2 linked regions of the Struthio camelus genome follow. The protein of the gene in region 2 purifies or fractionates together with the protein of the main gene of each other region. This does not show direct contact. Links are inferred from orthologs where the notes say so. Each region holds a gene or a part of one and is shown on either strand. Other genes may lie near its edges.

Region 1 (7,910 bases), about 70 Mb from region 2:
GGCATAACTGTACAGGGTTCAACCACTGTTTTCTTGGCCTTTTTTGTCTTTTTTCTGACTTTTGATGTAGACCTAGCAGTTCTGACTGATCCCTCCTTTCTACAAACACCGTTTTTGATTTCAGCTTCTCCATAAATATTTAGAGGTCTCCGTATGCAACCTGGTGGAGTATGTACATCACAATATGCAGTCTTTTTCACAGAGAACGTTGTCCCACTGCCAGTTAGTTCTTTCACAGGTTCCATTTTCATATATAGGCCAGCTTTTTGAGCACACGTCACATGGAATGCAGTATAGCAATTTGCTTTGTGGCACTGGATGCAGGCACCAACACCTTTCTGTTTACAGAGGTAGCATGTTAACTTCCATCTGGCGGGGGGAATGTTCCTGACACCATCAATTGGCTCAATAAAAACTGTATTGGCAAATCCAACTTCTGGAATCCACAAAGCACACACAACATGTCCCCATCGATCATCATCAGTCTTTTTAAAGGCACCTCCCTTGTTTGGGCACAGCACACAGTCTACAGGCCGAGAACGGGATTGCAGACAGTGTCTGCAGAGCCACTGGCCCTCAGGTATATATGGCACCCCATAGCATTCCTGATGTACTGCTAAATTACACATATCACAAAATAGGATTACATTGCTGTTCTGACATTCACCATCCATGCATATACAACACACTGCATCTTCATCAATTAAAGACTGATGATCACCCTGTTTTTGGTTCTCACAATAAGACTCTTTTTCAAACCTATCCATAAGGAATTCAAACATATTTTGTGACACAACTGACACTCCATCACTTTTCCGCTTCTCATTTATTATTTCTAACCATGCATAATCTTCTTCATCCATGTCATACTCAACTTCATTATCAAGTTCTTCTGCTGATTTTTCAATGAATTTATAATAAACTGGAGGTCGCCGAGGAGCAGAAGGTGGACTGTATTCAACAATCCGTACTTTTGGTTCTGGAAGTGGAGCTGCTGTAGCGGGTATACCATGTGAGCTTGGAAGAACTTCATTTTTCTTTTTCACTTTGTTATTTTTATGCCGTTTGCTTCTTAGACAAACTGGTGGTCTTTCACTATTTTCTTTATTGCTGTTGCATTCACTCATTTCCTGGGCTGTAAGATCATCTTCTAATATAATCTCTAACGGATCAAAGATACTGATCCTATGCAGGCGACCTTCAATTTCTATTTCAACCATTCTTTGAGCTTGAGCGTACGTCAAGGTTTCTCGTGTGGGGGAGTGCTTAATACTGCATGGGGAAGAAGAATGCCTTGCTGCCGATACTCGATGACATCTTCCTTTTCTCCTCATTTGGTAATGTTTACCTACAATAAGAGCAACAGTTAGTACAATGAACTACAAACATTTACATTAAAATATTAGCTTTATTTTAGTAGGAAAAAACCCTTAAAAGTTGTATAACCCCCAAACTATCTAACCAATTTCCGAGAGATCAGTTAACCTGTCACCTTTACTGAACAGGACTGCTCAGGCTGTTTTGAAAAATTTTACCTAACGACAGAAAGTAAGATCTCCTAAATATTAGCTTCTTACATAAGTACCACTGTACAGAATTCATATTATAAAATAAGTGCTACATACACACTAACTGTAGCAATTCTGTAACAGAGAGAAAACATTTCATAAGTGCCACCAAAAAATACAGTTTTGATATACTGTAAGAAAACGTCTCTATAATACAAAACTTCCAATTCATAAAGAGTGTCTGTAGTTTCAAATTTGTTCAACATCAACAGGTTTTCTTCATCTCTCCCTAGTTTCTCTAAGTGTTATATTTAAGAATCACCTCACCTCGTTGTCATTACTAGAGAGTTACTAGCATCAATGTAATTTTACTGTTTTAAGTGGGCCCACATTAGGAGGACGACCCTTATTCAGTGTTAAGACTTTAAACTCCAGTGAGATGCACCAAAGAACAAGAACACAATCTGACTTGCAAAACACTGAAGCATGGACCACAATTATGAAACATTCAACTCGTAAAGTAGATTTGACCTAGAACATACTGAAAAATTCACTGTGCTTGTGTGTGTGTGTAAACACACATATAAACACCCTTATCTTTCAACCAATTCTTCAGGATTTGTTCTCAGAGCAATTGGGGTAGATAACAATCTCACTCTCTTTAAATCCAAACCCAAGGCTTCTTCTAAAATAAAATAACATCATTTTCAAGTTGCTTTTCAGAACAACATTTTCAAAATGTTTTTCTTTTCTGGGGGTTGAAAATAAGACAAGACAAGAAAGATGAAAGATAAGAAAATAAGACAAAAGACAAATTAATCAAGTCAAGCTAATAAGTTCGTTCTCTATTCCCCTCGCTTTTCTTCCTAATAAATTCCTAATAAATAAACAGCAAGCATAGCTGTCAGCTACAGAAAAGAAATACTCCTGATGTTTAACCGTTTGCTCAAAGTATTAGGGCCTCACCATTCCAATTCTGATCAAGTTAGAAATTCTGCAATTCAAGTCAATGCTATTTAGTAGCCAAGATAATTCAACTAGCGTTAGCATACAACAAATAGACAAATACAGAGACCAAAATACAATTACAGTGAAAGAGAACCATAGCTAACACATGTAGAAAATCGGAAAGACTGGAACAATTAATACATCAATTATCCACAGCCTGCATTTGCTTTTGTTCAGTCTATGATGTCAATCTCCCTGAAAGTGTACCTTCACAATTCTGCAGGAACTCCATTAAAGATGACCAGATATTTTAAGTAGCTACCTTAGATCAGACCCTCTGAAGAGCTAGTTTTATCTGCTTGCACAGATTGATCTTGTTTTCCCAAAGAGAAGTGAAGAGAAAAAAAAAAAAAAACTAAGTTTTATTATCCATGCAAGTGTTACTTACAGATCTCGCTTTTAGATGGATATTCCTTAAATCTTATTATATGTTTCATAGGCTAAACACAGACACAAAAAAGGACACTCAGTGTTCAATCATTACAGGCCTCTCACCGGCTCTCTATAAACAGATGAACAGAAAAGATCACCTCTCTTCATATAAGTTTGGGTGAAATACTTAACTGAATTCTACAAGATACGAGTTAAGCACACCAATTTCTTACCGACTGAAGAAGTTTAAACCACTAATAGTGGTATAAAAGGTCCAATAACTAGAAATAAAGATACACCGATAATTTATCTGGAATTAAAGTTCCCATATCAGAATTTGTAATTCAGGGGCCAAAGATAACACATTTGCTCTGATTTCTGTTTATTAACATACACACCTAGCAACATTAGGGATTATTCAAATAAAAAACATATATGTGCTGATGTACAGCAACCTGCTACTGACTAGTACGGTGTCACTTTATATTGTTGATTTTTTTGATACTTGTCTTTCATTTAATCAACAAGCAAGAAAAAAAAATCATTAAAAAAGTTTCCCTCTTAAAAATCTAGACGAACTTAATGTCTCTTCCTACAACTACTAAACATGCGCAACCACCCACACTATTCATCATGACAGTGACTGTTTTGACAAATTAATGGGGTAGGGATGAGAGAGGTAGCCTTCAGAAATCAGAAAATAGGCTTCTTGTCCACACTTACCCATGTAACTTAACCCAGTATCATAGAAAAAAATCCATTAATGTTAGATTTCCAACCTCTTACCGTTCCCCTGCCAAAATTCTTACGCAACCCGGCAACAGGAACAGGAAAAAATATTTTAAAGCACAAGTTCTTGCACTGGGACTTATAACTGCTGTCATAAATGTCAAATAAAAGAAATTGTATGAACCTGAAAGATAAAAACGATTGGACTAGCATCTAAGCACCTTTTCTGTAATATTCACCTGCAAATAAAACTAAACTAGAAAACAAATTACAACCACAGTTACATGGAAAATGTATACCCTACAAATATAATGAAATGAACACAGAATTGGAATTGGTGCTCCTCTGGCCTAATTTTCTAGAAACTCAGTGCGAGTAACTTAAACGCTCTGGGAGTTAAAGAAGTATTTTGTGTTTTGTGTTTTTATTTTTTTTAAAAACTCCTATTTACAAACTTCCTAAAAATATTCCAGAGGAAGACCAGGTTTCTGCATAATGAATCTACAGCTGGCAAACTGCTTTGCTTTTCCGAGTTACTTATCACAGGCACCTTTCTTCCCTCCCCTCAGTAGTAAGCTGCAGATCCACAGGAATGAAGACCACGTGCACAGGTTTGAAAACCAGTAAAGTCAGATAACAGTTTCTGTTCAGCATTAATAGCGATATCACACTGATGGGAAAATACAAATAACGTATTTCTGCTAGCACTCTTCTGCCTCTTATAACAACTCAAAGGCTGTAGGAGATAAAACTGGAAAGTTATCCATAGCTTTCCTCTCCTGGAATTACATCAGCTGCTTGGGAAAAAAAGTCATCGGCAGACACTTTCCCTCACAACAAAAGTGCACGAAGACAGCTGGTTATGTGGAATGCGCAGTATGAGGCAAAAGTAGCTTTTACTGAGGTGTAGGATAGCTAAAACCAACAGAAAAGTATAACACCACACGCTTTCTGATTACGAATCCCTTTGCAGTCTCTCTCCTAGTTACCCTCCTCCACTCCAAACAATCGCCTTTGGTGCCTGGATCCCCTGTCCCGTGGAAAAGAGAATGCCATTCTCAATGGATACTTTCATGCAGACCATTAAGAAGAGAAAGACACAGGAATGCTCCTTAGTCCTAGACAATGAGGGTAAGCAAACACTGCTTGCATGCACACAGGGAAGACACCACCCTCAGTTTCAGCTGCGGAGCAGGACCATTTCCCTCAGGGGAATGCGGAGAATTAGCGCTCACGTAACCCGCCCGATCGGCCCGGCGTAGGCTACGCCACTTGGCATCACCACAGCCGCTCTTTCCCCTGAGCGTGAGGGGTGCGGGAAGGAGGCCGCCGACGCTACTGACGCCCCGGCAGCTCTCCCCTCCCCCGCCTCCCGGGATCAGGCACTCGCCCCGGCTCCCGGCGCGCCCCCGCCGCCCCACGGCGCCCGCGCGCGGGGCCGCCCTGCCCACGGGCCCGCCCACAGCCGGCTTCTGCGCGAACACTTCCTGCCCACGCCCAGGGAGCCGCCAGCGCGCACACACCCCTCCGCGCCGATGGTTCCTGCCCGGCCGCGGCATTCCCCCCTCCCGGCCCCCGCCAGGATGGTTCCTGCCCAGGCCCATCATCTCCAGCCCTTCCCAACAGCCACCTCCCTCCCCGCCGCGAAAATACTCGGCCCACCAATATGGCGGCTGACAAAACAGCCCGAGCGGCGCCCTCCCCCAGACCGCCGCGTTCAGCTTCCCCCTCGCAGCCTCCCCGCCCGCTGCGCCCCGAGCCGCCCCGCGCCCCCCCGCTGGCCGTGCCCGACCCGCCTTTCCCTTCCCCCCCGCTCCCCCAGCGGGCTCTGCCTCGCCGCGCCGGCACCCGCCGGCTCCCGGCCCCGCAGCCCCCGGCGCCCGCCGCCCGCCCGCCTTCACTCACGCTATGGGAGCCGCTGAAAGCGCGGCTGACAGACCCTCCCGCTCCGCCTCTGCGGGCCGACGCTGCGGCCGGTTTAATGGCGGAGGTCCCGCCGGCGCTGCCGCCTGGTCCCGCGCCCAGCAGCCCCGGGCGGGCAAGCGGGCGCCGCGAGGGCCGCGCTGCCGGCGGCCGCGACCCGTCGGTGGGTGGGGGGCTGCGGCTGCAGCCGGGCGCGGCGCATTCGTGAGGCACGGCGCAGGTCGCGGTCCGGCTGCGGGCTCGGCGCTCAGCTCCCGGGGCTGAGAATCTCCCCTCCCCCCTCGGCACAAACAATGCGGCTTCACCACAGCGCTGCGCCGACGGGGGGGGGGGGGGGGAAGGGGGGGGAGGGAGAGGGAAGGGACGTGAGGGCGCCAGGCACCGCCCAGCCCGGCCGCCGCCGCCGCGCCGCCCTGCGGGGCGGGGCCTCGAGCTGCCGCTGCCCCCGCCCCGCCGTCAATGGCCGCGGAGGGAGGGGGCCGCCTCGCGCCCTGGCTCGGGCAGGCGCGGGGCGCGCGGCGAGGCGGCAACGCTGCGCCTCAGGGCGCAGGGCGGGAAGGGGCCGCCGCGGCCCCGCGCCCAGCCGCGCCGCGCCGCGCCGCCGGCTCAGGCCGGTCTCTGCCGGCCCGGCCCCGCTCCGCCTGCTTCGAGACGCCTGTTCCGGCGCGTTGCGACGCGGCTGCCTCGGGCTCGCCGACCGAGCTCGGTCACGTCCGCCCTTACAGAGAAAGCCGAAACACCCAGCTCACGGTCAACAAAATGGGGTGCAGGAAACAGCACAGGACTTGCGTGTTGGAAAGCCAGGGCTCAAAACTGCAATATTTGGCACTAGTTATTTCTTTAGGGAAAGTCAGAGCTTGCAAGTTAACTCGTGTAGGTCAGGCTTTTGCTTTCAAGCAATCAGCAATATCCTTACATTTTGACAAAACAAAAGCGAGTTATTTCTAGCTCTCCATGCAAAGAGCACCCTTTGTTACGTACTATTTTTAGACTGCCGTTGCAGCCATAGTCTAGATTTGGCGGATTTTACTGTATCTGCTTCTGTAAGACAGCTGCACCCACATGCTTAAATGTCTCCTTTTCAGCTAGCCCAGTCCGGGACAAACACTTGTCTTTGCCTATCACACGGAGCAAGCCCTGTACGCACTAAACAGAAAAGCAGTGAGGAGTACACATGGTACTCCTCATCCATCTGTACCAACCACACATTCGTTAAAGCTTTCTTCAAAATAACTTACCTGTTTACTCTTGCATGGTTTCTAGTACTACAGTGTTGGCTCGCCTCAAACACCAGCTTGTCCAACAGTAAGTTTATAACTAGGAAATCAGACATAGATACACCTGTCATTATTTACTTGTAGCAAGTGAATTAAGGTCCAGAGAGCTTAAGTAACTTAGCTAGGGAAACCCTGTGGAATAGGCAGTGCAAATACTTTCTAACTCATTTTTCTGCCTCATCGGGGACCACCCAGCAGCTTGCTTTCTAACAAAGCAGAATCCACCAAAAGAGCTAACGTTTGTACAGCGCACTCAGTGAAGAAATAGGTCTTTAGGAGCAGATTGGCCAAGCATCTTCAATTTTACATCTGAGGGGGGTGGGGGGAAGAAGAAAATATATGCACTATGGAGCTTATTTGCACCCTGCTTGTGAGGAATCACTTTCTGGTTACATCATTTAAATAAGCACATTGTCAGTTTAAGAAGTCTTACAAGGTGCTGACTTAAGTTAATGTAGTTGCATAGGAATTCAGATTGTGAGACAAAGATATTAAAGAGGAAGCAGCATACTAAGTCGTATACATTAGTGTACAGTCTTAAGTAGCAGGCTGAGATAAAAATGAGTAGGGTGACAAACACTGTCAAGAAGCTAATACTAAGAATCATTTAGGCTAGAAAACACGTCGTTCTGTCTTTTAAGCGATAATCCACATGTATTATCTGTCCTGCAGTCGAACAAATGCTTTACAGCTGGAGACAAGTTTTCCACAGAGTGCTTGATGGTGTCCATACTCTCATGTGTCTGAGGCACAAGTCTGGCACTTCTCCAGTTTCTTTTTTTCTACCAGGGAAGTTAACAGTGCTCAGCAGCTAGGCATCCCTTCAGTAATGCAATGCTCCTTAAATTTGTACTATTTCACCATCTTTTTGCATTTTGAACCCATGCTTTACTCTCTGGTAAGCAATACTTACATGGCTTTTCCCAAGATATATCTTCCAGCTGTCTCCTGTGCACAGGACAAATTTTGCAAAAATACCCCATCCATGAAGTGTAATCTCCTAAACTTCAGGCTGATACGGGCAGGCAGTGGTAGTTCCAAAAGGATTTCGTTAATAATGTAACAGCAGCCTCATTGATTCTGACAACCTATT
Region 2 (7,326 bases):
ATCATATACTTGAGCTGGTATCAGAAAGCATTTTGCATAACAAACTAGAAAGATAAAAAAATGAACATAAGATACATTAAAATGAATTTAAATGGTTCTATAACAAGGCTTTAGAAGGCATTATAGAGAATTATCACTGGTGGCTGCATCACTTGTGCAAATTTCACATGAAGCAGTTCTTGATCCAACAGAAGAAAAGTTCCTGATCACTTGTAAATGAGATAACAGACTGGAAAAACGAGAATGAAAGGAACAGACCAATAGGACAGCAAGATACAGCCTGAATGGAAACACATACTTTCCATGAAGTCTCACACAGGGTAATACATTTAGCAGTGAACAATAAGAGTGATGGATACAGGATGCTGGACCATATTTCTGAGAAGCAGTGAGACTTGAATATCATGGTAGATAATTACCTGAATATGAGCTCCCAGCTGAAACACAATGGTGAACAGGGATAAGGGTATACCCAACAGAATGATAACCCGACTTCTTTAGTTAGCACTATGAAGACTGGTAATAAAGGGCTGCACACATTTTCAGAGAGTCAGAAGTTCAAGTAGAATGCCAAAAGGTTAGAGAAGGCTTAGAGAAGAACAACAAGGCTAATTAGAGAATTGAAAACTATGTTATCACAGGAGATTTTTTTTTTTTTTGCTAAATTAAGATTTAATTAATTACAATCTACACAGGGAAGAAACTGTTTACGAGGGGACACTTCAGCTTGATAGGTAAGAGGCAAAATGGGTGCAATGGTTGAATACTGGAACTACGAAAATTAACTTGAGACAAAAGTCAAAAACCATGATAGAGAAGCCTAATCAGCAAACTACCTTACCAAGGACTGAGAAGGATTCTCTTTGACTGAAAGTATTAAAATCTGTACCATGAGCTTTTCTAAAAGATAAACTCTAGCTTAAGAGCAACAACTGTCTTACAAGTATCTAATAAAGGGAAGTAACATTGTATGTAGGACACCAGACAAAATAATCAACAATGGCCTTAAGAGCTCTAGCAGTATGCAGAAAAGGCTACGCCAATGCTGTGGAAGTTTTCCTAATGTCATTGTAGCCAGTTTTTTTTTTTTAAATATACTTAGATTGCGCGCATTTTTTTTAGAGCAAAACACACTTAAAAGCATGACATTGCACAATACCACATTGATATCCATATTCAACAGGATGATAAACTACTTCAGTTGCAGGGCAACACGCATCTTAGTTGAGAGAAAACAATAACAGCTTGTAATTTTCTCTCCATGGTTGCCCTAGAGGGGAACAGAGTAGTTCCAGCAGTTTCACGGATTTTAGCTGCCAGTGACAATGAGATCCAAGTGTTTGGCTTTGATGGGCGCACTCTCTAGCCACCAAGCTCATGTACAGTTTCCTTTCTTCCCAGCTTGGCATTTATTATACCACAGATATCTATCATACCTCTCAACATTCAATACTGCATCTTCCTCATCCTTGCCTTCTGGTTCTGCATCCCAGTTTTTCATTCCTTTATCTTCACGCTCCAGGCTCTTACCCAGAAAATATTTTTTTTCCTATTAGGAAAAAGCTACATCCCCCTTATGCGCTTACTCCTTGTCCCATCTGCTTCTTTTCTCTCTCATGCAGCCCACAGCTGTTCCCATCCTCCCCTCTCCAAGGCATCTTTGCTCAGAAGCCTCAGCCAAGCGCAGTCATCCGTAACGCAATGAGAAGAGCAGAAGAACGTACATCTTTGCTCAGCTAGTCCTTGCTCCTCTCTAGTAATCTGCCTCCTCATCCAATGTTTCTTCCTGCCTTTTGCATCCCTCTTCCTCACAGTCCTAGATCAATGTTCTTGCCTGTTCATTTCTAGCTTCTTCTCTTCAGTTGTCATGATAGAGTATCATTTCTTCTCATTCTCGAACTTTCTGAAATTAATACATATAGCTTCCCTCCCCCCAGCCCCCCAATGACAAAGGGAGCACTGAAGGAACATGGGAATGAACCCTTGGTTTCCATTTCAACACCATATTAGCCTGTTTCCTCATGGCAACTCTGTGCTGGGGGAAGCCTAGTGTAGCTTGGATTTCTGAAGAATCAAGCTGAAAGCTCTGAAGTTTCCAATCATATGCAGACAGATGACAAGACATTCAACTTGGCCATAGAACATGAAGTAAAAGACACACTGCAAGTACTTCTATGCTTTTAAAATGCTGCCGGTCACTACCCTTGCTGGTGCCTAAGGACCAGGTCAGAAAGAAAAAGTGAAAATAAGGTTCATCAAAGAACAGGTCACCAAATTTCTTCAGGAACAACCAACCCAGTTCACCTATTTGACCATTTTTAAGAATAAGTAGAAAAAAAGCATTCAGAGCATTATCCCCCAAAAGGCAGAGTCTGACAAAGTTATAAGCAACTTAAAGCAAGACGATACCACGGGACAGCTCGGGGAATGCTACCAACGCCATGAGCACGCATACAGCTCTTCTTCGACCCGCGTAAACGAGACCGCGCCTTTAAAACCACCATAAACAAAGGAAGCCGATGAAACGATGTCCCCACAGACACAGCGGTCACCCTCCGCTCCATCTCACCGCTGCTACGGCACCGTGTGTCCAAGGGGACGCTCAAGCGGCCGCTCCTGAAGAGCGGCGCAAAACAGCCCCTCAGTCCTTTCCCCACTGACAAACCAGGCGCTGCCGGCGGCGCACCGGCGGGCGCGGCAGCCCCGGCCACGCCCCGCCCCACGGCGGAGGGGCAGCCCGCGCCCTGCCCGGGCGGGCCGCCGCCGCCGCCGCCGTGTCCGCGCGGGCGGGCCGGGGTCTCCCCGCAGCAAGGCCCGCGGGTGAAACCGGGACAAGGCCGCCGCCCGGCCGCGGGCGCTCCGGGGCCCGGTCCGCCCCGGCGCAGAGCTCGGGGCCCCGCCCCCGGGCACGGCCCGTCCGTGCCCCCGCGGCCTCCAGCCGGGGCGGCCCCAGCCGCCGCCCGCGGCCCCGCCCCCCGGGGCTCTTACTATCCAGGTAGTGCTCCAGGTACATCCCGGCCGCCATCTTGGGCCCCGCGCACGCAGGCACTTCCGGGCAGGCCGCTGCCCGCCCCGGAAACGCCCCCCTTCCCCCTCCCCGTGGCGGAGTCCGCTTCCGCCCTTCTTTATAGGCGCGCTTCCGCTCGGCTTCGGCCGCCATTTTGGGCGCTGCGGGGAGCGGAGCCGGGAGGGACCCGGACGCTGTGGCCGCCTCTTGGCCGCGGGGCAGCTGCGCGGCGGCTGTAACGGCGGGGGCGGGGACAGGGACGGGGACAGGGACAGGGACAGGGCCCGCGGGGCGAGCGGTTTCAATGCAGCCTTTTCCTGACTGCCCTCTGCTCTGAGAGGGCAAATACCTGCTTCTTCCAGCCCGCCGTTAAAGGAAACGGGCCCCCGTCTTCTGGAGGCGATGGAGGTCTCCTGCCTTCGAATAACTTTCGAGAGCCTGCCTGGGCACTCCTGCTGGATCATCTGGGTGAGGAAGTGCCGTTCGTCTGTTACGGCGCTGTATTGTCCCATTTACCTTATAATAGGCCAGCTAGCATCAACTGCTGCTGTGTTATAACCAGAGGCTGTCTTTGTTGTAAAATGATCATGGTACAAATTTAACGTACCTAATCAACAAAACCAATGAAATTGAAAGTTAAACATGTGAGCATGTCATCTTTTCTGCATTTTGCTGTTGCCACTTTCATAACTGTATACAAGTTGCTCGTAGATTAATGATCCCCTCGCTACAGACTTCAGAAACCCTTTGCCAAGTCGTCTTTTGCTAGTGGTTGCACATGCAAGGAATAGTATTGTGCTAGATAAAGAGGGTGAGGTCATAACTGTGGTTACAGAGGAGCCAAAATGAAAATTATCTTAATTCTTTTGGACTTAGGATCTATAATGTTCAGGATTTTCACTTGATGAGATTAAGGTTAGTTTAGCATGCTATAACATGTATGGGGCATTGAGCTTACCTTTGGCAAACATTTCATCTGCTGTTCTCCTGTCCACTTGCCTACCTTGTTCTGTTTTTTCTGAGTCTCCTGATAAGACTGTATAGTAACAGTCGTTGTACAGGGTACCTTGCTGCTAGACTCTGGCCATGAGGAAAAACTGACCAGGCTTGTTTCTGCTCTTTTCTCCCAAAGATCTCCCAGTGTGCCAGACCTTTACTTACATAGACATACTGGGATTAAGTGTTTTTTAGCAGCCTGCAGTGCAAGACTTCAAGAAACTTATAATTCAAACATTTCATTTTATCTACCATTTTGCTTGTTGGGTTAATTCAGAGGTCCACTGTGTTTTAAAGATGCAGTATTCTTCTCTACTTCTCTGTATCGCGCTCTCTCTCTCTATCTCTGTATCTTCTCTACATCTCTCATATCCTCATTTAGGTTATTTATGATTTAATTACTTAAAACACTTATTTCTGATTCTTTCCAGTTCCCTTGTGGTGCAGTTGGTTTCAATTAAGCTGAACGTTATTGTTAAGCCTCACTACACCTTTTTTCTTAAAAGTATTTCCACATTCTTGTATAAATTGCCTTAAACTCGTAATTAAGGGGAAGGATGTGGCTACTGCATGACATCTGCTTCCTATACCCCTCCACAGTCCTAATCCAGAAACCCCAAAATGCATCCTGCTTGGAACTACCAGGCTGGATGGAGCTGATGTTAAGAACTAGGCATTCTTGGACGTCACCTCTTTTTGTTAAGAGATCACTCGGCACTCCCATCTTAACCCTCTGAGCCACAGCTAGCAAGATGGCAAAACACACTAGACTACTGAAATGGAGTAAATGACTCCATCTGGTCTATAGGAAACTGTAGAAAAATTTACAAATAGATCTTTAACCTCATTAACTGCCACTGTGAAAGTGGAAAGGAAAGAGGAGAGGCAGTTTAGCATACGTGTATGGTCTGACAGCCAGTAGAAATGCTTCCGATCCAGTAAAAATTAGTTTCTGGACTCTGAATCTAGAAAAGTTTGCTGTCTCTCTGTTTGCCTCCTTGAAAAAGCTGAAGCACTGAGGTTCATGGAGAGGTATACCTGTCAAGATTCAAAAAGCATCCTGATCTGCAGCTGAAATGTTACTGCGCTAGCTATTTGGGTGAGGGGTGTGTTTTGTTTTTTTCCCTCCTCTCCAGTGGAAATAGTTTTACGAACTAGTTTTACTAGCATGGACATGTGATTTCACAGGAGGATATTACCCTAAACCGGAATATGCTGCAGAGGCATATGAGGCCAGCCTTATAGTATTAATACCTGGGTAACTATTTTAGTAACAAAGCCACATACGCTAACCCCAACAGTTACTACTCTTTTTTCACCCCAGAAGCATATTGGGATTTGCTACTTCAATTACATCCTATGGTTAGAGCAGCAAAGGCCTCCTAGTTTGCATGAAGGCTTGACTGATGAGTGGTGGGTGTGCTTCCCAGCAGGCCTATGCATCTCAGGCAGGGAAACTAAACAGCCTATCCTACTGACATAGTCTAGAAAAGTGGTTCTCAACTTTTATTCGTCTACAGGTGCCTGCACATTTTTCCTGGAAATGTAAACATCTGCATAACAAACTTAAGCCTGTAGCTTTTCAGTTACCTTTCACAGACCTCTTAAAAGTAGTCCAAGGACCACAAGTGAAGGCCACTACTTCAGAGGGATCTTTATGCACACCCCAAAAGGAGGCCTACAGCTCCAGAGCCTGTTTGCTTCCCTTTTTGCTGCAGAGGTACATATTCGACCCTTCTCACTCTCTCACGTTCTCAGTTCAGAGGTCCCTGCTCTATATTTCTCTCTCTGCAGGGAAGACTAGACGTACACACCCGCCTTTCTCACAAACACCAAACAATTCATCTGGAGCATTTGCCCCCCAAGTTGGTTGGTTAATTTTAAATATGAAAAAGGACACAAATGGCTCCATATTATGGCTGTGTCCAGACATTCCAAAAACATACCCTAGTTCAGTAGCAAAACTAGGTGCAGCCTCTAGTTCTTTGGAATCATCATTTCTTTTCTTGCAGTTTTTTTTTTTTTCATTCATTACATAGACACTCCATGAAATGAAAATGTTTGTTGGACCATGTCACTACCTCTCTCTAATACTTTGTAAGGCAGGGGATGCCCTACTCTACAGAAACAAGAAACCATGCGCACAGATTTAGTCTGTGCTACCTGAAAAGATTAAACAGGTACCTATCTTGTTGAATAGGAAACACAGAACTAAGCAATTTCCTGCTGTGCTCTGAAATGTACTAGTAAACTTGGGCTGCTCTCAGGTATATTACCTGCAAAATATTGGCTAGAAGAAAATCCTAGATGTGATATATATATCCTTTACTAGATATAAAGATGATAAAATACCAGTAACAATGCAGAAGAGAGGCAGTAGCTCAATTATATTCTATATTAAGAAGGAAGTTGGATGACAGACAAATCTGAGAGAGACATAATGAAATATTATCTGTTGCTAATGAGACTGAGGAGAATGTTTAGTTCTACCTATTAAATAAAACATCCTAAAACTTGCATAGCTAGAATCTTACAACCAAGAATTTTAAAATTGTCTGGCAAGCAGATGGAAGCAATGGGCTTTCTTTTCAAAACACCTTTGGAGTTCTCAGAGTATTCCAGAAGATCAGCAAATACTTTTATTTCAAAAGTATTTTAAAAGGAAATGGGATCATCCAGGTGGCTCTAAGCCAGTTAACTTAATACTGATTTGGCAAAATCACAATGTAACTGATACAGGATGTACTCTGCTTAAAAAAAAAAAAAAAAAAAAAAAAAGCTATTTGATTTAAAGAAGAAGATCTTATTAAAAGAACTACATATCCTTTTATAGCAATGTAAGTTTGGTGGTTAAAGATAACTGTTGGCCTAATATAGTATGACTTCTGTCTGAATACTATACAGCCTGGTCATTCATAAAGAAAAAAAGAAAGGCAACAGATAAGTACTACATGACAGAGCCAAACCTAATTGCGAGGTACCTAAAACAGCTCAATTTAATTTCGCTGTTTGGGAAGATGAATAGAGTGACTTGATCATGCTCTGTAAGTCATTATAAAAGAAAAAGATTTCTGATAGCAAAAGACTTTAATATACTGAACAAAGGCATAACGCGACCCTATGGATTAAAAAATGAAATAAAATAGAATGGCATTTTCAGTGGCAATGATAACCAACAGAAAACCTTTAATAAGGGACATGGTTGATTAACCATAAGGCTTTAAATTATTTAAGTCTTACATCTTTCTTAAAGATTTAACTGAATTACAGATCAGCAGTACTATCATCAGTCTCGGCTGAGATTCAGTTACTGTTTTGTGGGT

Evidence for each region. Proteins that work in one complex are often made in the same cells at the same time.
Region 1: the proteins of ING4 (region 2) and BRD1 purify together in Homo sapiens (affinity purification with mass spectrometry; 5 studies listed by BioGRID and IntAct, with this or other methods). This does not show direct contact. The link is inferred for Struthio camelus from reciprocal best matches to the Homo sapiens genes ING4 and BRD1.

What each region holds. Positions count from the first base shown.
Region 1 is NC_090942.1:21,042,345-21,050,254, forward strand, and holds the start of BRD1 (bromodomain-containing protein 1), read right to left. Parts: upstream 3,026-7,910; 5' UTR 2,954-3,025; coding exon 2,905-2,953; intron 1,349-2,904; coding exon 1-1,348. UniProt on the Homo sapiens protein: Scaffold subunit of various histone acetyltransferase (HAT) complexes, such as the MOZ/MORF and HBO1 complexes, that acts as a regulator of hematopoiesis.
Region 2 is NC_090942.1:90,814,261-90,821,586, reverse strand, and holds the start of ING4 (inhibitor of growth protein 4), read right to left. Parts: upstream 3,084-7,326; 5' UTR 3,026-3,083; coding exon of another isoform or gene 2,989-3,025; intron 2,722-2,988; exon of another isoform or gene 2,570-2,721; intron 1,526-2,569; exon of another isoform or gene 1,437-1,525; intron 1-1,436.